7 linked regions of the Rattus norvegicus genome follow. The protein of the gene in region 6 interacts with the protein of the main gene of each other region in a biochemical or structural test. Links are inferred from orthologs where the notes say so. Each region holds a gene or a part of one and is shown on either strand. Other genes may lie near its edges. The genes, in order: Cdc37, Tert, St13, Hif1a, Usp19, Hsp90aa1 and Ahr.

Evidence for each region.
Region 1: the proteins of Hsp90aa1 (region 6) and Cdc37 form a complex in vitro, tested with the Homo sapiens proteins (3 studies listed by BioGRID, with this or other methods). The link is inferred for Rattus norvegicus from reciprocal best matches to the Homo sapiens genes HSP90AA1 and CDC37.
Region 2: the proteins of Hsp90aa1 (region 6) and Tert form a complex in vitro, tested with the Homo sapiens proteins (2 studies listed by BioGRID). The link is inferred for Rattus norvegicus from reciprocal best matches to the Homo sapiens genes HSP90AA1 and TERT.
Region 3: the proteins of Hsp90aa1 (region 6) and St13 form a complex in vitro, tested with the Homo sapiens proteins (2 studies listed by BioGRID). The link is inferred for Rattus norvegicus from reciprocal best matches to the Homo sapiens genes HSP90AA1 and ST13.
Region 4: the proteins of Hsp90aa1 (region 6) and Hif1a form a complex in vitro, tested with the Homo sapiens proteins (4 studies listed by BioGRID and IntAct, with this or other methods). The link is inferred for Rattus norvegicus from reciprocal best matches to the Homo sapiens genes HSP90AA1 and HIF1A.
Region 5: the proteins of Hsp90aa1 (region 6) and Usp19 form a complex in vitro, tested with the Homo sapiens proteins (3 studies listed by BioGRID). The link is inferred for Rattus norvegicus from reciprocal best matches to the Homo sapiens genes HSP90AA1 and USP19.
Region 7: the proteins of Hsp90aa1 (region 6) and Ahr form a complex in vitro, tested with the Homo sapiens proteins (2 studies listed by BioGRID). The link is inferred for Rattus norvegicus from reciprocal best matches to the Homo sapiens genes HSP90AA1 and AHR.

The regions. Positions count from the first base shown.
Region 1 is NC_086026.1:27,964,131-27,968,317, forward strand, and holds the start of Cdc37 (hsp90 co-chaperone Cdc37), read right to left. Parts: upstream 2,801-4,187; 5' UTR 2,691-2,800; coding exon 2,589-2,690; intron 1-2,588. UniProt on the Homo sapiens protein: Co-chaperone that binds to numerous kinases and promotes their interaction with the Hsp90 complex, resulting in stabilization and promotion of their activity. Inhibits HSP90AA1 ATPase activity.
Region 2 is NC_086019.1:31,468,334-31,471,111, reverse strand, and holds part of Tert (telomerase reverse transcriptase), read left to right. Parts: coding exon 1-118; intron 119-1,822; coding exon 1,823-1,949; intron 1,950-2,350; coding exon 2,351-2,412; intron 2,413-2,778. UniProt on the Homo sapiens protein: Telomerase is a ribonucleoprotein enzyme essential for the replication of chromosome termini in most eukaryotes. Active in progenitor and cancer cells. Inactive, or very low activity, in normal somatic cells.
Region 3 is NC_086025.1:114,781,878-114,785,377, forward strand, and holds part of St13 (hsc70-interacting protein), read right to left. Parts: intron 2,195-3,500; coding exon 2,110-2,194; intron 2,002-2,109; coding exon 1,891-2,001; intron 1-1,890. UniProt on the Homo sapiens protein: One HIP oligomer binds the ATPase domains of at least two HSC70 molecules dependent on activation of the HSC70 ATPase by HSP40. Stabilizes the ADP state of HSC70 that has a high affinity for substrate protein.
Region 4 is NC_086024.1:98,358,398-98,362,697, reverse strand, and holds the start of Hif1a (hypoxia-inducible factor 1-alpha), read right to left. Parts: upstream 2,801-4,300; 5' UTR 2,475-2,800; coding exon 2,440-2,474; intron 1-2,439.
Region 5 is NC_086026.1:118,072,227-118,075,726, reverse strand, and holds part of Usp19 (ubiquitin carboxyl-terminal hydrolase 19), read right to left. Parts: intron 3,359-3,500; coding exon 3,142-3,358; intron 3,014-3,141; coding exon 2,857-3,013; intron 2,754-2,856; coding exon 2,682-2,753; intron 2,569-2,681; coding exon 2,453-2,568; intron 2,345-2,452; coding exon 2,124-2,344; intron 2,041-2,123; coding exon 1,845-2,040; intron 1,763-1,844; coding exon 1,629-1,762; intron 1,520-1,628; coding exon 1,361-1,519; intron 1,285-1,360; coding exon 1,174-1,284; intron 686-1,173; coding exon 575-685; intron 487-574; coding exon 385-486; intron 1-384. UniProt on the Homo sapiens protein: Deubiquitinating enzyme that regulates the degradation of various proteins by removing ubiquitin moieties, thereby preventing their proteasomal degradation. Stabilizes RNF123, which promotes CDKN1B degradation and contributes to cell proliferation.
Region 6 is NC_086024.1:135,526,341-135,530,598, forward strand, and holds the start of Hsp90aa1 (heat shock protein HSP 90-alpha), read right to left. Parts: upstream 2,801-4,258; 5' UTR 2,743-2,800; intron 2,160-2,742; coding exon 1,998-2,159; intron 1,900-1,997; coding exon 1,533-1,899; intron 1,167-1,532; coding exon 1,033-1,166; intron 806-1,032; coding exon 485-805; intron 334-484; coding exon 168-333; intron 20-167; coding exon 1-19. UniProt on the Homo sapiens protein: Molecular chaperone that promotes the maturation, structural maintenance and proper regulation of specific target proteins involved for instance in cell cycle control and signal transduction.
Region 7 is NC_086024.1:57,988,902-57,992,401, reverse strand, and holds part of Ahr (aryl hydrocarbon receptor), read left to right. Parts: intron 1-1,526; coding exon 1,527-1,714; intron 1,715-3,500. UniProt on the Homo sapiens protein: Ligand-activated transcription factor that enables cells to adapt to changing conditions by sensing compounds from the environment, diet, microbiome and cellular metabolism, and which plays important roles in development, immunity and cancer.

The sequences.
Region 1 (4,187 bases), on a different chromosome or scaffold from region 6:
AAACTGGAAGGAATAGGTGTGTAGGTGGGACTAGAGCTGACTGCTGGATTTGGGGAGGATAGGGAAGGACTTTCGAGGAGTAAAGAGGAGAAGCTTTCCTCAGGAAGGTGGAATGCTAACTGCAGAGTACCTGCCAGCAGCCTGGGAGTGTAACAAGCACAGGGCTGATGAGAGAGCTCAGTGGGTGAAGGCCTGCTACCAACCCTGACGGCCTGAGTTTGATCCCGAGCCCACGTGGGTGGAGAGAACGGATTCCAGCAAGTTATCCTCTGACTGTGACAGGGTAGCGTGGCACATTTACACATACATGAGCATGAACATACACAAATACAATGTAACCTAGACAGAGTAAAGACACACAGGTATGTGGGTACAGATGCTTTAATTTGGGGGGCAGGTTAGGCCACTGTCTCTTTACTGCTGTGCTAGAGATGGAACCCAGGACCTCCTGCATGCTAGAGAGTGCTCTACCACTCAACTACATCTTCAGACCACCCTTACATCTAGGTAGTACACTATGGGCCTGCAGGCAATGCTGGCACAAGAGAGGCGGAAGAGCATGGCTTGCTCACACTTGGGGATCTGACGGTCTCAGTCTAAGGCATCTGTTATGGGCAGATTTAAAACTGTGTAGGACTTTATTTTATCTGCCTAGTGATCGACAGGATTCCCTGAGCCCGTGCCAGCCTCATACTTACTATGTGGCTGATGACTTTGAACTTCTGAGCCTCCTGCTTCTATCTTCTCAGTGCTGAGACTACGGGCCTGCCCCACCATGGCTAGCTTTTAAGCCAGATGGAGCCCAAGGCAATGCTTACAACTGAATTCCAGCCCATTTGGTTTTTGAGACAGGGTCTCACGTAGTCCAGGATAGCCTAGAATTTGCCCTATAGCAAGGATTAACTCTGAATTCCAGATCCTTCTACCTCCACCTCCTAAGACCTGAGTTTACAGGTGTGCTACAATGCTCAGAAAGTAAGGTAATGTTGGAACAAGATCCAGGAGGTGCAGAGTTAAATAGAATGATATGAACCCTCGAGAGGCCAATGAAACTGGAGAGGAAGGGCAGGTAGGACAGGAAGGGTTTGGTTTTCTGGGTTGGGATTGGGTGAGCTGTCTTTTCCTTCTCCTTTCCCCCTTTTCTCCCCTCCCCCACTTTCTTTCTCTGTCCTATCCTGCCACTGGACTCCATGCCTCCAAACAGAGTACCCCTATTTAGCTGTGCTGGAACTCTCTGTAGACCAGGCTGGCCTTGAATTCACAGGCCCGCCTGCCTCTGCTTCCTGAGAGCTGGGATTAAAAGTATGTGTCATCACCATCCGGTTTGGTGAGTATTCAATGATGGCTACAAATCATACAGGAGCCAATGTGGGCAGAATGGGGGTCTACTTACTATACTACTAGGAGCAGAGGTTCTGACCGGAAGTTAAGTGGGTGGGGTTTCCTGGAGTAAGGGGAAATAAGAATCTACAGGAGGTGAAAATAAGGAAAGCCACTAGAATTGGATGATGGGCAAGAGTGGAGCTGGGGGTCAAATAGAGAGGCTAAGGGGGCTCTAACACTGAAGTCCCAAGTGTAGCTCTGGTCTATAACCCAGGGAAATCGATCCTGGACTGGGAATCCCAGCTGCAAACTAAGATTGACCATTAAATTAAGAGCAGGGCACAGCCCTCATTTAGTTTGGAAGTTAGGGGGTTGGGGGTTCGGGGGGTTGTCTCTGGGCCTTAATGGAAATTCGTGCCTAAGATCCTGGGAAGTAGATGCCACAATCAGAACGAAGTTTTATGGATCCAGACTCTAGGGGGTGGGGAGAGGCAGAACGGAGATGTGCAATCAGAAGTGGGTGCATGGCTGGGATATGAGATCACCTAACAAAACCTGGGTCCAGACTCTGAGGAAGAATTCTGAGAACAAAAGGTTCCACAAAGGATGATGGGGACCCTACACACATGGGTCAGCTTCGGAGGTGGGGTGGGGTCTAGACTCTGACTAAAGAGTATTAAGAGCTGATAAAATGACTCAGTGTACAGGTGCTTGTGGCAACTCGGGGTGACCTGAGTTCCACACCCAGTTCCAACGAAGTGAAAAGAGAGGCCCAACTTCTGCAAGTTATCCTGTAATCTTCCTTTGCATGCTGTGCCACGTGCACACAAGAACACACACACAATAAGTAAACGTACAAACAGAAGAGATCCACAGCACAGAGAGAAAGCCCGGAGATACAGATGAAGAATTAGAATGAAGAATCCAGGAGTCCTGGGATTAAAAGGTCCAGCCCAGCATGATGGCACATGTCTTTAACCTCAGCACTGGGAAGGCAGAGGCAAGAGGATCTCCGTGAGTTAGAAACCAGCCTCTTCTATATAGCAAGTTCCAGGCCAGGCAAGACTACCCAGTGAGATTTTGTTTTTAAAAAAAGAAGAAAGAAAAGAAAGGGGGAAAGTCTAGATTGTGGAACAGGAGGCTCTGGATGTCAAGAACTGAGGTCTCCCCCGCCCCCCACGCCAGGCGGCCTGGCTAAGAGGTCAGAACTCTAGAGCGGGGGGTCCCGGGAGTGGGGGGAAGGGGATGAGCGCGCACAGCCCCACCTGGTGCCGCCAGCGGAACAGGCTGGCCGTGTCTATGTTGGGGTGCGTCTCGTCCTCATCGTCCGACACCTCGATGTGATCCCAAACGCTGTAGTCCACCATCTTCGCCTCGGAGGCCCGGACTGGCTCCCGGGTCTCCACACGGCCGGGCGCTGAACAGGGACCCACAAGGGCTAGAGAGTCCGCTCGCCCCGCCCCGCCCCTTCCGCTTCCGCCCAGGGCGCCGCGCACGACGGCCCCGCCCCAGCGTCGGCGCATGACGTTCGTCCTTAGCAACGGGAGTCGGCGGCATTGGCAACCGGAGGTCATCTTTAAAGGGCCAGGAGTACGTGGTGCGGCCTTCTGGAAGTTCCCGCCGAAACCAGACTGAACATCCTTTAGAGACAAAAGGTTAGTCTTGTTGGGCGTGGTGGCCCACGGTAATCCAAGTATGCTAGGGGCGAAAACAGGTGGCTCTCTACAAGTTCTAGTCCAGCCAGGGTACATATTGAGACTGTCAAAAAGTCAAAATTGGCTGGGCAGTGGGGACGCAATCTGGCGGATCCAGGCCAGCCTGGTCTACAGAGTGATTTCTAGGACCGTAAGGGTTGTTACACAAACAAACATTCTAAAAAAAAAATAAGTCAAAATTGAGCCTGGAGAAATGGCTCAATGGTTTGGAGAACTGGCTGGTCCTCCCTCACCTACATGGCGGCTCGTACCTATCTGGTAAGTCCATCTCAGGGTATATTGCGCCCCCTTCTGGCCTTCACCCACACCGAGCATGCATGTGGTACACAGATATACTTGCAGGCAAAATATTAATACGCATAGTTTTTTTTAATGATGTTTGCCCTTAAATAGTTTTTTTCCCCAGACAGGGTCTCACTGTATAGCTCCGGCTGTCCTGGAATTCACTATGTAGACCAGGCTGTCTTCAAATGAACAGATCTTTCTACTTCTGCTTCCCAATGCTGGGGTTAAAGGTGTGCACCACTACACCAGACCTGCCCTTAATTTTTTTTTAAAGATTTATTTATTTATATAAGTACACTGTAGCTGCCTTCAGACACACCAGAAGAGGGCATCAGATCCCATTCCAGATGGTTGTGAGCCACCATGTGGTTGCTGGGATTTGAACTCAGGACCTCTGGAAGAGCTGTCGGTGCTCTTAACCACTGAGCCATCTCTCCAGCCCTGCCCTTAATTTTTAAAAAAATATTTATTTGTTTGTTTGTTTGTTTGTTTTGAGACAGAGTTACTCTATGTAGCCTTGACTTTCCTCAAACTCACTCTATAGAGGAGAATAGCCTTGAACTCAGAGCTGTGACTGCCTCATTCTCCGAAGATTAAGTGCTGGGACTAAAGGCATACAGCAGGACCACCTGGCTAGCTAAATAAATAAATAAACAAATAAATATTTAATTAAATTACATCTTAGGTGCTGAAGTGATGGCTCAACAGTTAAGAGCACTGGCTGCTTTTTCAAAGGACTCTGGTTCAATTTCCAGTATCCATATAGCAACTCATATCTGTCTGTAACTCCAGCTCCAGGAGATCTGACACTCTCACACAGGTATATATGCAGACACAATACACGTAAAATAAAAAATAAATAAG
Region 2 (2,778 bases), on a different chromosome or scaffold from region 6:
TGGAGACCGGCGCCCTGGGAGGTGCAGCCCCGCACCAGCTGCCTGCTCACTGCCTGTTTCCCTGGTGTGGCTTACTGCTGGACACTCGGACTTTGGAAGTATTCTGTGACTACTCAGGGTAAGCACACAGGGGAGTCATGAGGTCATGGGAGCAGACGGTGCTGTGGCTACGACTTTCTGTTTCCTGCTTTTAGACACAAGTGACCGTGAGGCCTGAAGTGATAGAGGCCGAAAGGTGTTTCCCTCCTTTGTGGAGATGGTCACGGCCAATATAAGAACATCTTCAGCCTTGTCCCAAGGCTCCTGCAGACCATGGAGCCAAGATGTTCCTCTATATGAAGTATAAGGGGCGGGGAGGGGGTGGGTGTTGGTCTCCACCTACCAAGAGCTCACAACCCAGATTGTAGCTCAATGTAGATATGACAGATTTGGGATAGGCACAGGTGAAAAGAGTTGGACCATTTCTTCTTATGAGTGAAGAGTATGAAGATTCTGACATTACGGCAGGAGCCTGGCAACCCACCATCTTGACAGCTGTCCATTCTATGCTCAGACTCCCCATCTCCATTGTGTTCTTTGGAGGGTCCCATTCTAAGGGAAGGGTTGGGTGCAGATAAGCCGTCTGTACCGTGCTCTCGCAGGCCTGGGCTCCTCAGCCTCAGTCCATGGGACTCAGTTCAGATTTCTTGACTCCACCCTCTGCCTCCCAGACCCACCTTTGTTGCCCCAGCCCCAGCCTAGTGCTGAGCTCGCCAGTGTACCTGCCCCAGCCCCTGGTACTCTTCAGTGTTACAGAGTCATGGGTAAATCAATCGAAGAAGAATTCCCCTCTGAACATACTGCTAGAGTCTGAAAACCACACACCCTTATAGGAAGCCAGGCGGGCCCTGGACAGGGGCCATTAGCGACCATATGTAGACCATAAGGGCCCTGTTTCCAGAGTCCATGTTAAGTGTGGCTGTGAGCTCAGCCTGAGCTTTTGGTGTGGGTGCATCAGCCGAGCTCAGTATCCTTCTGCCGGAGCCAGGGACAATGCATCTGGAGGTCAGCCAAAGTGGCTAGCAACATCCTAAAGGGAAAACACAGTGATGGGAGTTTCTTCTCCCCAAACCACAGCTTTCATGCAAAGTGTGAAGAGAGCTGACAGCACCGTGGAGTGTCACGGAGTGGGAAACCTCTTCCTCCACCCACACGCACAGGCATGCACCTCACACATGCACAAAAAGTAAGAAACCTGACAGAGGTAACCATACCCGTCACTTGTATTCATCTTTGAGGATGATGCCAAGTCACTGGACAACAAGAAGGCACCACCCCATCATTCTGTCCTGCACGCGTCCATCCGTCGTCCCAGAGTGACCAACTCTGCAGGTGGTTTGACACCGCTGTAGGCACTCCCTTACTGTTTCCTGTCACCAAGATCTGGCTGGAGACAATCCTCCACTCCAGTCATAGCCCTGTGCTGGGAAGGTGCTCTGTCAGGCTGCAGCCACTTAAAGAAGCACAGGGTTTGCGACTTCCTGTAAGATTCACAGTTCTTTCTGAATTTTCACAGCTCTCTTTGCCACCTGTGAGCAAAGATGTCTGGTAATCCCAAGCTCAGATAAAATGGATGTTGTTCACTACATGGTTGGGCTTGGTTGTCCAGGGCTTCTAGTGGCGCTATAAGCAAGTACCAAAAGCTGGAATGGGCCCCATGTCTGAAGGTCCTACCCCATCTAAGCCTGCGGCGTGTGGCAGAGACGAGAGGAGGAAGGGCAGTGGTGCTGGTTTCTCAGGACGAGCTAGTGCAGCTATCACACAGGATACCTTTGTGCCGCAGTTACGGACGGACCTCAATTAAGATGAGCCTCACCTTCCAGGGTGTCTCCAGGGCCGGGAAGACCATGCGGTACAAGCTCTTGTCAGTCTTGCGGTTGAAGTGTCATGGTCTGTTTCTAGACTTGCAGGTAAGCAGACAGGCAGCCACCTCATCGGTTGGATCTTAGTATAGGTCCTGTTCTTCTGTGTGGGGGGACACGTTCATGGATATGCATGTGTGTGCACAGGCGTGAGCCGTGTATGTGGGGAGCACGTAGGAAGGTGGATGTGCACTGAAGAGACCGAAGAGCCTTGAGCACTTACCGTGCTCATCTCCGTCACTTTTCAGTACTGACATCCAGCTTCCCTGGATCCTGACCTTGGCTTTGGAGTCTTAGGCCTCAGCTCTCTCCTGCTTCCTCCCCATGGGGGCCTGGCTCGATTTTCTGTTTTCCCCACACGTGGCTTTCTTATCCTACTTGACAACACAGAAAATATTCATTTGTGATCTCGGGGACATTGCTGACGCTTCTCTTACCCTTGACTCCAGGTGAACAGCCTGCAGACAGTCTGCATCAATATATACAAGATCTTCCTGCTTCAGGCCTACAGGTGAGTCAGCGGCCGTGCCGCCACTAGAGGGAGGCACAGGCCAGAAATGCCAGTCATGCTGTTTGCTGGGGCTCTCAAGCTCAAGGCTGTTTGCTCCCCCAGATTGGGTGGCATGCTGAAATGCGGTCAGGAAAAAGCAGCATTTAGTTGAGTCTCCACACAGGCCCGTATTTGTAGGGTAAGAACCTCTTGTGGTCTGCCTGTGCTGGGAGCACATGTAACCTTGTGTGCTGACCAGAATGGTCTTGAGACAGGAGGGGATGTTGGCATAGAAGCCCCCAAGAAAGCCCCTCAGAAGAAATAGGATGGGAAAGGGGAGCAGGGAGATTCAGAGTCCCAGAAAGCAGAGAACCCAGTCTTACACCA
Region 3 (3,500 bases), on a different chromosome or scaffold from region 6:
GCCTGGTCTACAGAGTGAGTTCCAGACAGCCAGGGCTACACAGAGAAACCCTGTCTCGGTAACCCCTCAACCTCATCCAAAACAAAGAAAGAAAATGGTGTGGAGAATATGTACACCATGACATGGAATCCTGCCACCACCCAAGGTAAGTGTAATGAAAATGGTAGCACAAACCCTACACTCACACGTATAAAAACTAAAATCATCTTTCTAATATCTTGTTTTAGCCACATATTTTAAATGGGATACATTCTTAAGGACAATCCTGACAGCAAAGAAAACCTTCACAGTTTACTTGGAGGGTATGCTATGCTAACTGAAATACTATCACTTATCTGGTATGTTTCCAAAATTAAATAAGGATACAGTTAAAAGGCAAACAATTTTTAATTGAAAATCTTGGCATAAACTCAATTATAAGTTTTTCATTCAAATCATGAATGTATAAAGAAAGGTATTGTTCCTTGGTTGTGTTCACTGATATGACAGTAAAGAAGAAAAGAAGCAGAAAAGTATGCCCAACCACACAAATTTTAGTGTCCACAAAATGAACTATAGTTTCTTTAAAAAATAGCTTATTTGAAATCTGTAACCAGAAAGCAAAATGCCATCTGAAGACTAGTGACTGATTTCAAAGGAAGCAACAATATTGTGTGAGCTTTTTCTATAACCACACAGCAGCAATACATTTTACTTGAACCCTTTTTTAAAAAGATTTATTTATTTTATGTATATGAGTACGCTGTAGCTGTCTTCAGACACATAAGAGGGCATCGGATCCCATTATAGTTGGTTGTGAGCCACCATGTGGTTGCTGGGAACTGAACTCAGGATCTTTGGAAGAGCAGATAGTACTTTTAACCTCTGAGCCATCTCTCCAGCCCTTATTTGAACCTTTTACCTTTCTCTTTGACATGCCTTCATAAAAAGTCACTACTATGAGTCACCTAATACAGTTTTGTTAAAAACATCCATTCTTTTTTTTTTTTTTTTTTTTTTTGGTTCTATTTTTCAGAGCTGGGGACCGAACCCAGGGCCTTGCGCTTCCTAGGCAAGCGCTCTACCACTGAGCTAAATCCCCAACCCCAAAAACATCCATTCTTATTTCTACTCAAACTTCATCTATATCTTCTCAATCCACCTCAATCATTGGATTTCCCTAAGACAAACACGAAACAATAAGTTCCAACCCTATAGCGATTATTAGATTTTTTTAAACGTCCCAGTAATGAATAAAGGCACTTCAGGCTAGGGTATTCAGTATCTCTTCTTGTATTCTTTTGGGTAAAAGGAAACCAGGTTGTCTTGTATGTGCCTATGTGACTTGATAATGTTGAGTAGTTTTATGTGGAAGGGAGTAAAATCTTTTCATGTTCCTTTTCTTAATTCTTCATACTGAACCCATTACTTTGAAATAAAAGCACTTAGGTAAAATCTGAAAAAGGCATATTAAAATAGATTTTAAATTAAGTTTTGAAAAACCTCTTAAACTTGACTACTTTGTGCCTCTGTGTGTGTGTGTGTGTGTGTGTGTGTGTGTGTGTGTGTGTGTGTTTGTGTGTATACAGTCTCAAGAACCATTTCTCAGGTGCAGTCAATCAACCTGTTTCTGGATGCTGCCCTATAATTCACCATAGATGTTAGAAACTCACTGATCTGTTTCCAGCCTCCATAGCACCACCCCCAGCAATTGGTAATACATTAAGGCAGGGTTTTTCTCTGTTGTCTTGGGCTCTCTAGACTCCAGGCTGGTCTCAAACTAACAGAGATCTGCCTGTCCAACGCTGCTGGGATTAAAGGTGTGTGCCACCACTACCTGGCCATACCAGTGTTTTACTCCTGGGTTCTACCGGTCAAACTCAGCTTTCTCAGCAGTATTTGTTCATTTACCTGTGCGCTTTCCCTCTCCATTTGTATGGCTGAGCTGAATCAGGGTTTATTTCAATAGCTCTGTCACAGTCTCGGATGGCAGCATTTGGCTTCTGTAATTTGACGAAAACACTAAAAAATAAAATAAAATAAAAATAGTAATTATTAAGAAAAACTTCATTTCAAACAATAAAACCTTTGAGATTTATACAAAAGAAACGTGTACTTCAGTGTTCTTACCTGGCTCTCTTGGCATACAGAATGGCCAAGCGAGGGTTTAGCTTGATGGCGTCTGTGAACAAGTCAATGGCTTTCTGGAGCTCACCTGAAGTGAAATTAAACTTACTAAGAAACTGTCCAGAAGACAAAGATTTAATAAAATACTTTGACTTCTCTAATTAAGACTTATCACTTCTCAGTCTACTTCATAGGAGACATGGCGCAGTGACAGTGCTTCCCACCAAGCATGGTCAGTAGCCAGCATGTTAACATTTTTAAATAAAGGGCTAGAGAGGTTCCTCAGTGGGTAAAAGCACTGACTACTATTCCAGAAGTCCCAGGTCCACCTTCCAGCACCCATACACTGGCTCACAACCAACCATCTATAACCCAATGTCTATAACCCAAGTTCCAGCTCTTATGCCTTCTCGCCTCCATGGCAATAGGCATACAACAAGTACACGTTGGCAAAGTACCCATAAACATAAAAAATTTAAAAGTATTTAAAAAAAAAAGATAAAGCAATATGATGCACATCTGTAAACCAGCACCCAAGCAGCAAAAATCCGAGAACTGAACATTAGAGGCAATCCTCAGCCTAGGCTACACACACAATTAGTCCTAGGAAATCTGGACTATGGCCCCACCCCTAAAAACCACTTGGTAAGAGAATGAACTTCTGAAAGCTGTCCACGTACCTCTACACGTACACTGTGTGTGTACCCTACCACCAAGCAAAAGGTAAATAAACAAGAGCTGCGACAATAGCTAGGAATCTTATTTCTCTTACAGAATACCCAGTACCCACAAGGTAACTTACAACCATTTGTAACCAGTTCCAGGAGATCTGATGTTCTGTTCTGACCTACAAGGATCATACATGCATGCAGGCAAAAACACTCACACACTTAAGAAATAAACCTTTTAAAAATCTAAAACATAGCCAGGGAGTGGTGGCACACGGTGTTTTCTAGCACTTGTTGATAGGCAGAGGCAGGTGGATCTCTAAGTTTGAGGCCAGCCTAGTCTACAGAGTGAGTTCCAGGACAGCCAGAGCTACACATGGAAACCCTGCCTTGAAAAACTTAAAAACAAATGTAGATTGATGTTATGGGACTCAGTTTTACTTGACAGACTAAGCTTAAAGAGGATAAAGTGTCAAAACTAATTTCACAGGATATGAAAACTACAGTTTTCTCTTTTTGAGAAATACTGTTTAAAGGAACAAAAATAGAGACATTTAAGCCAATAAGAAATTAAGCTTCTTTCACAGTTACCATTATTTATCTGTCTCTCTCTGTGTTTGTATAAATGTATGTGAACATGTTAGAGAGTGCCCACAAAGGGCAGAAGATGATATTTGATCCCTTAGAGCTGGACTTATGTATGGGCTTCTGTGCGCTACTGAATAT
Region 4 (4,300 bases), about 37 Mb from region 6:
GAATATAAGAAAAAAAATGCATGAAGGCACAGAAGAAAGGTTTGAAGATTATGAAAGTCTGAACTATAACAGTTAACACCCATGTTCAAGTATATAATGTGTTACAAACCATGTGCTGGCCTAAGGTTTTTAAATGCATTATCTTATTTTCAGAAGGCTAGTATTATCCTCTTGGGAGGGGGGGTATATAATCCACAAGTATTCAGTAACTTGCCAACAATCACAAGTGGAAAGGCTTGGGACTCCAACTTGTGGTTATCTATCTGTATCCTCTATCTAAATCAGTAGACTACTGATTCCTCAAACAAGGAGGAAAGCTAAATTATAATAAAAATTTTATTAATAAACTTCTTGATTTTTAGTGACCAACGCTAAAAGGAGAAATTAAGAAACATCTTTAAGAGATTTTATTTTAGTGACCCAATAACTATTTGGGGGGAGGGATTTGAAAGTTCAGCTACAAGCTAGAAACAGAATGAGCTTGACATTCTCTTGAAATCTAAGAATCCATATACATATTAGGTCAATCAAGTTCAGTACCAACAGCTAAGGAGTCAGACACAGCACATACCGACTGTTAAATCTATTATTCACTTTCTGTTCTGCTTTCTTCCAAATCTTTGAGATTTGAGTTTTCTATACTCTCTATTAAAAAAGCAAAATTCTTTCCCACCTGTTCACTTTGGAGGCTCATTTAAGATGGACTAATTGGAGAAAGAAAAATTTTACCTCTCAATCTTTCAACAAAATTATGATTACAAAAAGACATACTTAATACATAGCACCTAAGTGTTGAGTGACCCATCACTCATGTTTATTATCTTTTAGTGATATTAAGAACCTCTATATTAAGAAATATAATCCCATCTGATCTAAAGCTGCTAACATCTCAAACAAGAAAAATTAAATTAACAGATGGTTCTGAGGAAAACCTAAAAACCATTTAGAACTGGACCCGATGCACAATTAACTTACTTATCCATTGTAAGACTACTTTTGATTAAATACACACACACACACATACACACACACAAACAGTGTATATGAAAGAGACATGATTGGTGTATTACTTGGTATAGTGTATTAATATAATATAATTCAGCATTTAATAAGGACAGTAAGTACACAATGGCAATCTGCCTAAGGTTTAGAGAATAGCAGCCCATCATTTCATCAAAAGCATTGTAGTCACTTCTGCGAAATTAATTGCAACTAATTCTGGTAACTCCTGGAGTTAAGTCTAGACTTGCATGCTCACTTTAAAACATTTTCAAAGTGCTTTCTTTGGTGCATCCAAGACCTGGACGTTCTATGGAATAAAGACCAAGGCAAGGAAGGGATGTACAGAAGAGCAAGAAAATGAGTACATTTATCTCTTCTGCGGATATGGATAAGGGGAATTAATCTCTTCCAGAAGACTGGAAGGACTTAAGAATTAAGCCAGCCTTGTAACCACAGCTCTTACAACAAACCTTCAACTTCTTAAACTGATTTTCTCAAGGTTAAAATATCGAAGTAGACAAAACTGTGTGCTGGCGGCAGGGATCGATCTTACCACTACTAGCTGCACTCGTAAGCCTATAATGTTCTCAGACTCAAACCACAGGATGTTTCATAAACTTACACTGAGTTCTCACACACGATTTCTCACTTCGGATGTATGTTTTTTTGGATACAATTCTTTGCAGGTGTTCCAATAAACTTGCAACATTCTAACTGCTGGTTTTCATTTGCTTTCATTATATACACCCCCCACCCCATCTCATTAAATTATCGGCCTAAGTTTAACCGAAACTATCGGTAAGTTATTTTCAGGAGTGAACGAGGCATACTCATATTCATACATAACGTCTGGGCTCTCCTGACAGGTGATGCAAACACAAGTTTGTAGGAACTGTAAGTTATTTAAAATGATGCCATTTTCCTAAATTCCCGTTACTCTGATGGTGGCAAGTGTTTCCAACAAAACCTGCACGTGCAAACTAGAAAGTTAGCATCTTCCGGCCCCCCGAAGAAACTCCCTAACCTACAAAGGCAGCGGCGGCCGCGGTACAACGAGGCGGCTCCGGGGAGCCCGGGGTCGGCCTCGGAGGGCCTCGACCCCAGGAAGCTGGCAGCGCGCACAGGGTCCGCCCGGGGCCCGGTGCTCGCGGCAAACGCGGAGGTCCGGGGCGGGAAGGCGCGGGAGCTAGGGGCGTACTCGGCCGGGGCCGGCTCGGCCGGATGAGCGCGCGGGGCAGGCTGGGCTGCGAAGGCGCGGGGCGGGTGTCCGGGGCGGAGACCCCAGCCCCGCCGAGCGCTGGGCCCGCGACTCCCACCCCCCGCGCCAAGATGGCGACGTGGACCGCGGGGGAGCCCGGCGCGTGAGGCTGGGGGGGGGACGGAAGGGGAGCAGAGACAAAAAAAGGCCAGCCCACAGAACGCGGCGGCCCGGCTTACTTTTTCTTCTCGTTCTCGCCGCCGGCGCCCTCCATGGCGAATCGGTGCCCGCGGTGTCTTCCCGGCCGGCAGCCCCTGGGCTCGCTCCGGCCTAAGCGCCGGCTCTGTCCTCACGCGCAGAGAAAGGGGCAAGTCCAGAGGCGGGGTGTGAGGCGGGACACCCCCCCGGGACGGCGAGGCGGGAGCTGCAGGCTGCGCTCGCCGGGCTCTGGTTCGGGTTCCTAGTTGCTCCTCCGGCTGGCTTGTCAAGGCCTGGCCAGACACTGCTCGCGACGGTAGCGAGGACAGTCCTCGCGTCCCCTCAGACGAGGAGCCTCTGTGCACTGAGGCGCTGAGGCAGCGGCAGGGGGCGGGCAAGGGCGGAGGCGCGCTCGGGCGCGCGGCGAGGGGAGGGGAGCAAAGGGCTGCGCGCGCCCGCTAAGCCCGACGCGCGCACCCGCGGGCCCGCCTCACCTGAGCGGAGGCGGGTTCCCCGAGAGCCAATGGGAAAGGACGCAGGCGGCCAGGCCCCACCCCAGCCCACGTTGCTCTCAGCCAATCAGGAGGAGGTCAGCTGAGCCCCAGCTGGGGCGAGCTGCCCAGCTCACGTGCTCGTCTGTGTGCAGCTAGGGAGAGAAGAGAAAGGGGCGACCGACGGGTGCGGCTGAGCCCAGGTCTGGGGACTCTGCGCCTTCAATGGAAAGCTGCGTCTGGCCTTGGGAGGCGCTGCTGGAGCAAGTGGGATGCTAAGCCTGTGTCCGAACGTGCTCACACTGCCCTGCTCTCTGTGGAGTTGTCTGAGGCTCGCTTACTCCTTAGTTGCGTGGTTGGACCGGGTCCCCGCCCATCCCTCCTGAGTTTCCAGTTGCAAAAACAGCCAACTTTGTGTTCTGGCAGCCAGCCCCCTGCTGTTAGAGTGGGGTCTCTCCTTCCCAGGTGACCGGACGAAGCTCAGTCTCTGCTCTCTGCCACAGAACAAGGGAAGTCTCCAAGTCATTAACGATTTTCTGGGCCAAAGTTTGACTACTGAGCAAATGCAAATAAAAATATAAAACAAATCCCTCTTGCAAAACCTCTCAAGGCGAGTGAAGTTGCAGGGCCATTTTAAAATAAACTATCTTAATTTACACATAAATAACAGCTTCAATAAGTGAGAGCACAAGCCTGAATTTGAGTGACAAGGCAGGAAAAAGCATTGAGTAGACTTATTTTGCTATTATGTTGCTTTGAAAAAAAAAAGACAAAGATAATCTTAAATAGATGCAGAAAAGGTGCAAGAATTGTTTCAGACTGAGTTTATTAAAGTTCACTGTTTAGACTGAAAGAAGGAAGAATGCATCCTCCAACCTACAGACCTTGACAGGACTGCTCACCGGCTGTGCTGGGAACTATGGATTAAAGCAATCACTTTTGGTCGGTCTTTGGAAGCATGAATGTTAGGTCTGTGGGTATGATGTTTGTTAGTTTTTTTTTTTTTAATTTTAATGTATTCCAAGCCCAACAAAGGAACACTGCATGCACCTGCGTGTGCACACACACATGTACACACACACACGCACACACACACACACACGTGTTGGAGATCTGAATCTGAGGTCTCTGAAACTGACCTGACACTTGACTGTTTAATAGCTCTTCTTTGCCTTGTTAGTACATCGTTACAATCTAACGTTGGGTTGTATAATAATGTAGACATCTGTGGCAGATTTAAATTGCATTCAAATCCAAAAACAACGCCCCCCAATAAATACAAATGGTGTCCAGGTCTAATAAGACAATAAACAATGTATAAAGCCTCTCAATAGACCCATGAAGACACAGCTGGAGATTTAGCTTAGTCAGTCGGAGAGCAGTGGTCTAGTATGCACAAGGTCCTGGCTTC
Region 5 (3,500 bases), on a different chromosome or scaffold from region 6:
ATCGGAGAGACAAAGCGTGAGCATGAGTCATGCACTGATCCTCTGTCCCCAGGGTTACTAGCAAACTCTTCATCCAGAGAAGACAGGGAAAGACAGAGGACACGTGTGGGACTGGAAAAATGGCTCAGCATTAAGAGCACTGGCCATTCTTCCAGAAGATGTCAGTCCTATCCCCAGCAAATACATGGCAGCTTGCAACCGTCTAGAACTCAAGTTCCATGGGGTGGGTCCAACAGACTTTCCTAGCACCAGGCACACAACATACTACAAACTCACATACAGATGAGCAGACAGAACACTGAAAATGTTAAAAAAACAAAACAAACAACAACAAACCCACCATCACACATGGCCACACACAGAAGCCTGGGAGGGAAGATCTACCTCAGCCAGGCGCAGGCTCTCAGGCTTCACGTGGACACTCTGAGAGAGGGACTCCAAAACTTCGCTTGCGCTGGAGTTCTCCTTGCTGACGCTCACCAGGAACTTAGGCAATAAAGGTCAAGTCAGCAAGGGGGAACGGATAAGAAGTCCTATTTTTAAGGACAGCCAGAGGGAGGGGATTGTTACTCACCTTGATGGGTTTGCTATGGGGCTCTCTGGCAAAATAATATATGGGGAGAACCTTTTGCTTTTGTGGCAAGGGTACCGGCAGATAAAGGAACGGGTCAAAAGTGATGGAGACCTGCGGATGCAGAGGTGACATGGGGGTCACAAGGGTCAAGGTGCTCATTCCTGGAGAACCTAAGCCAGGCTCTCCGGTGGCTCTCAGGGTTCTCACAGCCAATCAGCAAACTTCAGTGGTAAAGCACTAGACTGAGGAAGGGGACCCACCAGGAGAGATGGAGTCCCCTCTTCTGGCAGCTTAACCTTTTCCCCAGGGTTCCCTTCACCTGCTCTTCACGCGCCTTTCCAACTGTACCGGCAACACTGGCATGCCATGCCTTACTTATCCTTGCTGTACCACACCTGTGCATCAAACACCCCTGACCTCAGTCACGAAGCCGACCTCGCCTGATTTCTTCTGACCAGAGACCCTAAGGCACTTTTAGGTTCTGCCCACTTCCCTCCCCCAAATTTTGCCCAGCATTCTAAAAACACACATGCTTCAAAGTATCTGGCCAAACCGGCCCAACTAACTACAGGCCATCTCTCTAGGGGAGTCCACTGTACCTTGGCACACACAGGGCACACCAGCTTTGACTTGTACTGGCCCTGAAACAGGTCCACAATGAATGAGTCGTTCCTCATCTTGTGCCGCTGCCATGCTTCTTCAGCCACCACCTGAGGAAAGATAGTGAGAACTAAGGAGAACTATGGACTGGGACACACAAAACCCTTTCTACAACCCCCAACCGACCTCGTCAGGTCGCCCATCTGAGTCCACAGTCTCTGTGTAGGGTTTGTTTTGGATCCGATTCAGGTCTTCATGCAGCCCATCCAACAAGAAAGCCATGAACTCTTGGGCATCATGCTGTGCGTAGCCTGTAAACTGGCTGGCCTTGCTTGCTACAATGGCCTAGATGAAGAGGCCAAAGTGTCAGTGAGAAATCTTAGCACTCATTCGCAGGACACCTTATTAGCCCTCTCATCCCTCTGTAAACAAGGTGGGAGTGAGCACAAATCACCTTTAGCTTGGAGGGTTGAAAGGCTTGGTGAGTGCCCTTCCACAGGGCCCGGAGCAGCACAGCGAAGCCAATAGCCAGACGCCCACCAGTCCCCAATGGGTTATTGTAGTTAATCTCAGCCTCAAAGGATCGGTCTAGGAACAGCCGAGTAGAGGTGTGAGAGACAGAGGTACCATTTCTGCCTATGCCCCAGTCTCCTGGCCCTGACCTTCTTACCGTGGAAGAAGTCACGAAGCTCCCGAGTGTTGGACAGAGACTGAATGACACTATTCATGAAGCAGGTGTTCCCTAAGTTGACGAGGCCAGTAAAGCCTGGGAGACAAACCTTCTTCTCTTCCTCTTCATCCTCCTCCACACTATCTCCACTCACTGGACTATGAGGCATTGGAGGCACCATACATGTGGGTTTGGGCTGTGCAAAGAAAGGAGAAATGACAGAGGAGCCCTGGTGCTCTCCAGCCTCATTCGTGACCCATCCCAAGCAAGGGTTCTCACCGAGGCCAAGTGCGGTTCTGGCTTTGGGGTAACATGCTCCAAGGGGGTGCGAGCCACCACACCATCCAGCCCCGAGTCCTCTGACCGAGCCTTGGGTTTTTCCTTCTCTACAGCCCTGGCTTCCTCCTGGCCAGTCAGAGGGAGGGGGCCACCTCCTGGAGGGGTTGAATCCAAAGGGGTTGGACCTGTCGGCACGGCAACCTTTGCACCACCCACTGCACCTTAAAAAGGGGGAATGAGAGGGCTGGTGGTTAGCAGCACGTGTGAGGTGGTGGTAGGGGGTCCTAATCATGTGGGGCTCAGGCAATGAAGGGAGCTCGTGTGCAGACCTCGTGTAGCAGGGGCCTCCAGTCCCCCCCAGCGCTGACTCTGCCGCTTCCGGAGGCAGATATCGATCCGAGAGGCCGTGAAACAAAACGTACATTGCTCTGGCTCAATCAAGTTCCTGTCAAGGAAAAGCTGAGTTCAGAGATTTCAGGAGAAGCAGGTGAGGTTAAACAAGCCAGAGAGATGGAAACCCAAGTGAGACAAGCAGTAACAGGGCTGGGCACCACCCACCTGAGCTTCACCTGCCAGCGGAAGATGGTGTGGGGCCCACAGCCCGGATGCAGCCTCAGAAAATTTCCATCCCTGCAGAGGCAGAGCAGGGAAGGAGGAAGAACAAAGGAAAATGCTTGAAGCACACTCCCATCTGAGGCACACCGCTGTACCTGTCCCAGCCTCAGCCACACACCTGGTCTGGAAGATCAGCGTGAAGTCCTGCTCTCGGAAAAGTACTCGAGAGGTATCCCTGCGGCTCTCCTTCACATACACGTGCACCACCACTGAATCCGGCCCCTTCTCATACGAATCATTCTTGACAAATGCCAGGTTCACCATAGACTCTGGTTCTATGTTGAGACCATGGCTCAGTACCATCAACCCAAGACAAATTCCAGCCTGTTACTATACTACTCCCTACCCACCCATCAACCCTGTGACCCAACCTGGGGGCCTGCCTTCCCAGTCCCCATGTTACCATCCGCTAAGGCTGCAGGATCAGCTCCAACTGCCATCTCCTCTTTGAAATGGTCATCTTTCTCAGGGTCTCTGTTCCGGATCATGACTGGGGAGACTGAGTCACTCCTGGGGGACACTGTCTTCTCTACTGTCAAAAGGGCTAAATTCTTCTCTGAGCCCAAGAGACTTGTTTGAGGGTTCACTGGTGGAACATGGAGCTGCTCCTCAGCCTCAACCTAAACACACACAAACATGCAAACATGCAAACACACACAAAGAGAGAGAGAGAGATTAGCTATGAGTCTAGCAAGTTGTACCCACTCTGGTCCACATTCCTTCCCAATCTCTAAATATCCAAACAGGACAACAAGCATCTAA
Region 6 (4,258 bases):
ACCACCCCTCTGATGAAATCTGTGGAAGAAAAGAACAAGACACCTACCTTAATCATTCCGAAAACTAAGGAATCATTTTTGGCTGGTCGAGAGGACTGAGCCCAGGGCCTCAAACAAGTTATGCAAAACCCCTGCCAATAGTGCTTATTCTTTCTATCCGTACTTACTCAGATACTCGGGGATTAACTCCTCACAGTTATCCATGATAAAAACTCTGCGAACATACAACTTGATGTTGTTCTTTTTCTTTCTGTTTTCAAATAGATCAAAAGGAGCGCGTCTTGGGACAAAAAGAAGAGCCCGGAATTCTAATTGTCCTTCAACAGAAAAATGCTGCAATAAAATGAAATACCTTTAACTGCCATGGACAAAAATGAATCAACTTTTCCACTGAGCTATGTTACACTTAGAAGCACTTCTATAGGTTGAGTGGGTGTAAAGGTTAACGTTAAGTCAACCCGAAAACCTGCTTTAAGTCACTCACCTTTACTGCCAAATGTTCTTCCCAGTCGTTGGTTAAGCTCTTGTAGAACTCTCCGTATTCTTCATTCGTAATGTCATCAGGATTTCTGGTCCAGATCGGCTTTGTTTTGTTGAGTTCTTCTTGATCAATGTACTTTTCCTTTATCTTCTTCTTTTTCTTCTTGTCACCATCCTTCTTCTCTTCTTCTTCTTCATCAGAACCAACATCTTCTATTTCAGGCTTGTCATCAGACTCCTTTTCTTCTTTTTCTTTCTCTTCCTCTTTCTCTTCCTTTTCTTCAGCCTCATCATCACTGACTTCCTTGTCACGTTCCTTCTCCACCTTAAAAAAAAGTCACTTCATTACTGTGTCACAAATTATTTAAGATCTAAGAAATAAATGTCCATAATTAAGAAACTCATCAGTGTTTTCTATAATTTCTCAACAGTCCTCCAGAGCACAGACCCAAACTTGTTTCAAACAGGCTTATTATTTACAGAATGCTAAGACCATGCTCAGTTGTCTCAGTTATCATATCAATTTACCCTGCAGTTGAAAGAAAAACTTACAAAGAGAGTAATGGGGTAGCCAATAAACTGAGAATGTTTCTTCACAATTTCTTTTATTCTCCTTTCCTCCAAATACTCAGTTTGGTCTTCTTTTAGATGCAAGATAACCTTTGTTCCACGACCCATTGGTTCACCTGAAAAAGAAAAGGTTATGGACTATGAATTCAAATGGCTAATATTCAAAGTCTTCTCCCAGTGCTTGTTGGAGCGGAGATAAAAACGTGCAGTGTTTCCTAGCAGCTAACTTTCCACACAAATGCAGTCTCCAGAGCTTTAACTTCCTTGCTACTGAGCAAATAGCCATACGTTTTCCACATTTCCTCCAACCACCCAGTCCTTGAAGCTCCCTTGAGATTAACAATTTTGTTGGAGGGCTTAGGACTAAGACTATCCCAGACTGCTCCAAACTCTTCAATTCTCCCAGTTAACCCTCTTAAACACTTGACCTAAAATAACCAGACACCCACTGCACTCTGAATGCACTCCTGGCCTCTGCCTACCTGTGTCTGTCCTCACAGTGAAGGATCCTCCAGCTGAGGACTCCCAGGCGTACTGCTCGTCATCATTATGCTTGGTGATGACAGTCACTTTCTCAGCAACCAAATACGCAGAGTAAAAACCAACACCAAACTGGCCAATCATAGAGATATCTGCACCAGCCTGCAAAGCCTCCATGAAGGCTTTGGTGCCTGACTTGGCAATAGTGCCAAGGTTATTGATCAAGTCAGCCTTGGTCATTCCAATGCCAGTATCCACAATAGTGAGGGTTCGGTCTTGCTTGTTGGGAATGAGATTAATGTGCAGCTCCTTCCCCGAGTCCAGTTTACTAGGGTCGGTCAAGCTCTCGTATCTGATCTTATCCAGAGCCTATTAAGAGAAGACAAACGTCACGCACACAGACAAGCCTCAAGGTGAAATTTTTACTGAAACCAACATCCATTCAATTCTTCAAGTGATATACTCACGTCTGAGGAGTTGGAAATGAGCTCCCTCAGAAAGATCTCTTTGTTCGAGTAGAAAGTGTTGATGATCAAGGACATTAACTGGGCAATTTCTGCCTGAAAGGCAAAGGTTTCGACCTCCTCTTCCTCCATTGGTTGGTCTTGGGTCTGGGTTTCCTCAGGCATCTGGGAACACGGGACGGTGTTAAAGCCTCACAGAATGTCTGCAGGCGTCCTAATGCCTACCTACCCCTTTCCTATAGAAATTCCTTAGGAACTCTATTTCGGTCTGAGACGGGGACGGAATAGAAGAGGCCGAGGGGGGGGGTGGATGACAAAGGGATGACCTCATTTCAGAATGCGGTAATTACGAGGCGCATGTGCGCGCCTCCGGGAGGACGTTCGGACCCAAGCGGCTCCACGCACGCCGTTCCTAACGGCCACCCTCCCCCCACAAGCCGCCGCTATGGCGCCTCCCTCCTCCGCCCGCGCCTCAGGAGCACCGGCGAGAGCCGGGGAGGCCTAGGCAAAGGCCAGAGCCGAACGTTCGCCTCGCCCCCGACCCTCCGCCGCCGCTCCTCCTCGGCGGCCATCACCGCATCCTGGGCCTGGGGCGTAGCGGCCGCCTGGGGCCTAGGGTCTGAAGGCATGGCCGCCCACCTCTGCGGGCTGAGGGAGCTCGGATGGCGGCCCCGACCCCGCCGCCGCGTCTACATCCGTCAACCTCTCTCCCCAATCCCCCACTAAGCCCCTCTGCGAGGACACTCACCTTGGCAGAATGAGCACGCACGAAACGTGACTAACCGCACCGGGACACTGAAGCAACTGGCGCGCCGCCCCCCGCGCCTGCCTTATATAGAGGCGGGCCCGCCCAGCGCGCGGCGCTTTTTCCAGAAGCCTCCCGAACCTTCCGGAAGAACCCTCCCCAACCGTCGCCTCGGCCGCGCGCCTGCGCCTGCGCACTGGACGGGCCCCGCCCCTCCACCAGGAGCGCGCAGAACCCGCGCGGAGAACGAACGCGAGCCCCTCCTCCACAGCCAGGTGCTCTGGACATGCGCAGTCCGGGATTCTCGGCGGGCCTGGCGCCTTCCCGGGCCGCGCGCGCGCCGCCTCTCGTGGAGCGCGGACAAGGTGACCAGCGCATGCGCTAGAGGCCGCCATGTGAGCACTCTAGGGCTCCTCTTCTCGGGGGGTGGGGGTGGGGTCTGCGAAAGGGATGTTCCCATGTGAGGCTGCGTTGCTGTGTGAACCTCAGTGCCCTCTGCGGCGCGTTAGGTGTCTGAGGCGAGAAGATCCCCCTGTCTTCGGGCTCCCATTGGGGACGTAGACTCCCGGCGGGACGCGAGTCTGACTCCTGGCTTCCACCTGATGGGTGGGGCGTATCCCGAGCCCGGGTTCTGCTTGTTGCGCGGTCTGGCGCGTGGTACCACTGTCTGAATTTTAGGGCTGTCCCCTCTGGAGCCTGTCCTGAAGCCTTACTGTGGGTAGTACACGGTGGATCTTCCAAATCTGTCCATAGTGCTTGGGGGTTTCTCTTTGACCAAAACCCATGACCCTCAAACTTGGGCGTTGTTAGGGTTTTAGTGTCAAATTTGTGCTACCTTAACTTATTGTAATTACGGGGGCCCAGAAAGATGGCTTCATCCAGTAGAGGTGCTTGGGTTTGATATCTGCCACCCAGATAGCGGGGGTTGGGAGTGGGGAGCTAACCCTCAGCGCCTGTGACACTCATGTGCACACACACACACACACACTCGCACACACACTCGCACAATGTGAAAATAAGTGTAAAGGGCTAAAGAGTCAGCTAGGAGCAGTTAGTGATACCAAACTCGCACGTTAAGGCAGCTCACAAGCACCAGTAACTACAGTCAGAAAATACAGTCCCCTCTGGCCTCTGCGGCACCAGGAGCACACATGGTGCACAGACACACGCAGTCAAAACGCTCATACACAACACACTACCCTGGTTTTTGAGGCACCTTCTTAGGGTGTCATGACGTTACTTTGGGCGATTAACGTGACCCAAAAGATAGTTTCCTTGTTTAATACAGGCTTTAATAGACTTCCGTTTGGCTTCCATTTCCCTTTCCTTTATGTTACTCCCACCCACTATTTCCGCATCTTTTCCTGCTGACGAAAACGATCACTCATTAAGATTCGAAAGAAAAGGGCTGGAGAGATGGCTCAGTGGTTAAAGCATAGACTGGACCCAGGTTCAATTCCCAATGACCACGTGGCAGCTCAAAACGGTAATTCTAATCTCTGACACCCTCACGCAAACA
Region 7 (3,500 bases), about 78 Mb from region 6:
CCAAGGATATCAACCCAATATGGCATAAGAAATTGCAATAAGACTAGGCACAAACCCTCACTCCTATCAAGGCTGAACAAGACAACCCAGTAGGAGGAAAAGGATCTCAAATGCAGACAAAAGACTCAGAGACACCCTCATTCACTATTAGGAGTCCCACAAGAACAGCAAGCTACACAACCATAAAGTATATGCAAAGGTCCCAGCTCAGACCCATCTAGGGCACATGCTTGTTGCTTCAGTCTCTGTGAGCCCCTGCGAGTCCTTCATTGATTCCATGGTTAGTGTTCTCATGGTGTCTTTGACCCGTTGGCTTCTACAATCCTCCCGGTTTTCTTCAGAGTTCCCCTGGCCTCACCTAGTGTTTGGCTCGTCTAGCTTTTTTGGCCAAGACTCCTGAGTGCGTGTCACTCCACTGTAGAAAACTTGATTTTCTTTCTCCCAGCAGCTATCAAGTACAATAGCTTCTTAGCTAGAGGTTAGATTTCACGTTGACCTCCTCTCCTCCCTTGCTAGGGCTTTGTCTGGCTTGACCTTTCCTAGGACTTGTGCACATTGTCACAGTCTCTGTGGGATGTTAGTCCCCTGCCCTGTTATGCCTGAAGTCATCCACTGTCTTTGGCTCTTAGGATATGTCCCTTCTTTCACATAGATCCCTGAGCCATGAGGGGAAGGATGTGTTATAAACATCCCAACCAGGGTTGAACACACTTCTTATTCTCCGTCTTTTTGCTGTATGTTTGCCAGTCGCGGGTGTGTCTGTTAATGGCTATCTCCTACAGAAAGAAGCTTCTGTGGTGAGAGTTGAGCAATGCACTTATCTGTGGGTGTAGCAATAAGTCATTAGGAGTCATTTTATTACTATGTCCATTTAAGAGTATAATAGTAACAGGTTTTCCCCTAGGGTCCTATCTAGCCACAGGTTCTTGGGCTCATTCATGGTGTCAGGTCCAGGCTCCATCTCATAGAGCAGGTCTGAAATCCAATCAAAGAGAGAATATCAGTGGTTCTGTATTGAGGTCATAAAAGTACCTGTAATAACAGCATAGTTAATCTTACTTAGTCTGCGTGAGAAGACTAAGTAAAATCTTTAGGGAGAATCAAGGAAGTAGAAATTTGAGAATCTGTGATTACCAATATGTAAATGATTAACTAGGCAAGTGACTAGACATCATACTTTCTAAATCCAAACGCATGTTTTCCAGTAGTTTTTCTAGGTGAAATTTGCCTAAAAATGATTTTTTTACTTAAAGGCTTTTTCGGTATGAAAATGCTTCAATTGTACAACTCAGCAGTTTTAGTATATTTTTGCATGAATGTTACAGATTTCTTTGTATTTTTGGTGGTATTATTATCTGACACTTATTTCATAATTGTGCTAGTGAGAAAAGCTGGCTCGCAGTGTAGTGGAGGGGTTTATTGGGAAACTCTTCGTGTTTCGTGGGTAGAGCAACCCTTGAGCAGATGTTTTAATGTAATAGATACTTTTGCTCTGTGTTTTCTAAAGGCTTTTCTTTGTGTTTCAGAGTAAAGCCCGTCCCTGCTGAAGGAATTAAGTCGAACCCTTCTAAACGACACAGAGACCGGCTGAACACAGAGTTAGACCGCCTGGCTAGCCTGCTGCCCTTCCCACAAGATGTTATTAGTAAGCTGGACAAACTCTCCGTTCTAAGGCTCAGCGTCAGCTACCTGAGGGCCAAGAGCTTCTTTGATGGTATGTCGGCACGGTTGACTTTTATAGCAGTAACTCACAGTATGCTAATGTCAAATATGGTCCTTAATATTGGTGACAATAAAAAACTGTCCATGAGCGCAAACGTCTTTCTTGTCTTAGAAAATAATGGAGTGACAAAGCTAAATGTATAACTGTTATTAACTCTCTCTCCTGTCTCATTCACCAGACAAATAGAGCCATTTGGATGATACATAGTAACATTCTTTATAAGTCATGTGTTTAAAAGTTATACTCAGGTTTCATTTTTAAAAAGAAATCATAAAGTACTGTGATTGGGGGTGGGGCTGGCTCAGTGGACAAGAGAGGATTTGGTGTGTAAACATGAAGAGCTGAGTTCATATCTCCAGTGCCCACTTAACGCGTTGCCTGGCTTGACTCTAACGGTAGCACTGTGGGAAATAGAGACAGGGCTCTGGGCCTGCTGGCTGCCAGCTTTGTGGGTTCAGTGGGAATGAGGCAGGATGATAGGGATGGACACACAAAACCTTACTCTGTCTCTCTCTGACACACACACACACACACACACACACACACACTTCTCTGACATACATATATACTGTCCTTCTCCCTCTTCTTCCCCTTCTCTGTCTCTTTCTCACATACACATACATACACTTCCTCTCCCTCTGTCACGCACGCACATACACATACACCTGCTCTTTCTTTGACATTCCTCCCGCCCCCCTGTGCTCTTACCGTCTCTCCCTCCTCTCCCCTGTCTCCTGTCTCCTCTCCCCTCTCTCTCTGACACACACGAATTAACACCCGCCCGCCCACGCTGCCTCATAGGAGTAGTAATGTATTGTTCCTGTACTTTCTGTATGGAATTCATGGAGTCTTTCAAAGTTATACGGACTGCTACAGCTTTATGTTAATGTATGTTAGCATCAAGGAAATGTGGTTAAAATGGTTTATGATCAGAAAGAACACTTGAATATGGTTGGACAGTGTTGGATTTCATTCTGCACAGTGCCACCGTGTGACTTTAGTCGTGCCGGGGAGCACCCTGTGCTTCAGCTGTGAACGCACTGAGGGTGGCTGTGGGGCTGTGTGGCCGAGTGCTGCTTATTACATATGAATTTCCAGCATCGATCACTACGGAATCTCTAAAACGGAGTTCCTATTTGAAATTACTGTTCTGACATATTTTGTCATACAAAATAACTCCTTAATTATCTCTTACATGAGTTCTGGGGATTTGAACTAAAGACATCCTCCTTAAATAACAAGGAATCTTCCTCGCTAAGCCATTTCCCAAGTGCCTTATTTTTTTTTCTTTTTAAGTCCATAAATCAAAAGTTAATTATTAAGGATCGTATTCCTTCACAAATTGTAGCAAATGGATTAATGCCAAGATCTCAAACTGCTGTGCACCTAGGCATCATGGTGAGATGCAGAAGTTCCCCCTTCTGCAGACTCAGATGATGCTAATGGTAGCATCCGAGTCACCAGGCAGCCCCTGCTCATCTCTGTGTCTTAGAGGACTGTGTAGAAAGTCATTCCTCTTGGATTTATGTTTGTATGAGTTGATGTGTTTGAGTTGAGCATGGTTGTATATTTTCTTGCCACGTGTAATTTTTAACAATAGCATTCTGTCAGGGCACACAGACACCTAGAACCGTGATTTCATGTGGTGTGCAGTGTACATGAAATCTCACAGCAGTGATTTAATTTAGTTCGTAGTGTGCACTGACTCCTAAAGCCGTCATTCCGTGTGGTTTAGGATGTACACTGAGTTCTACAGTAGTAATTCCGTGTGGTGTAT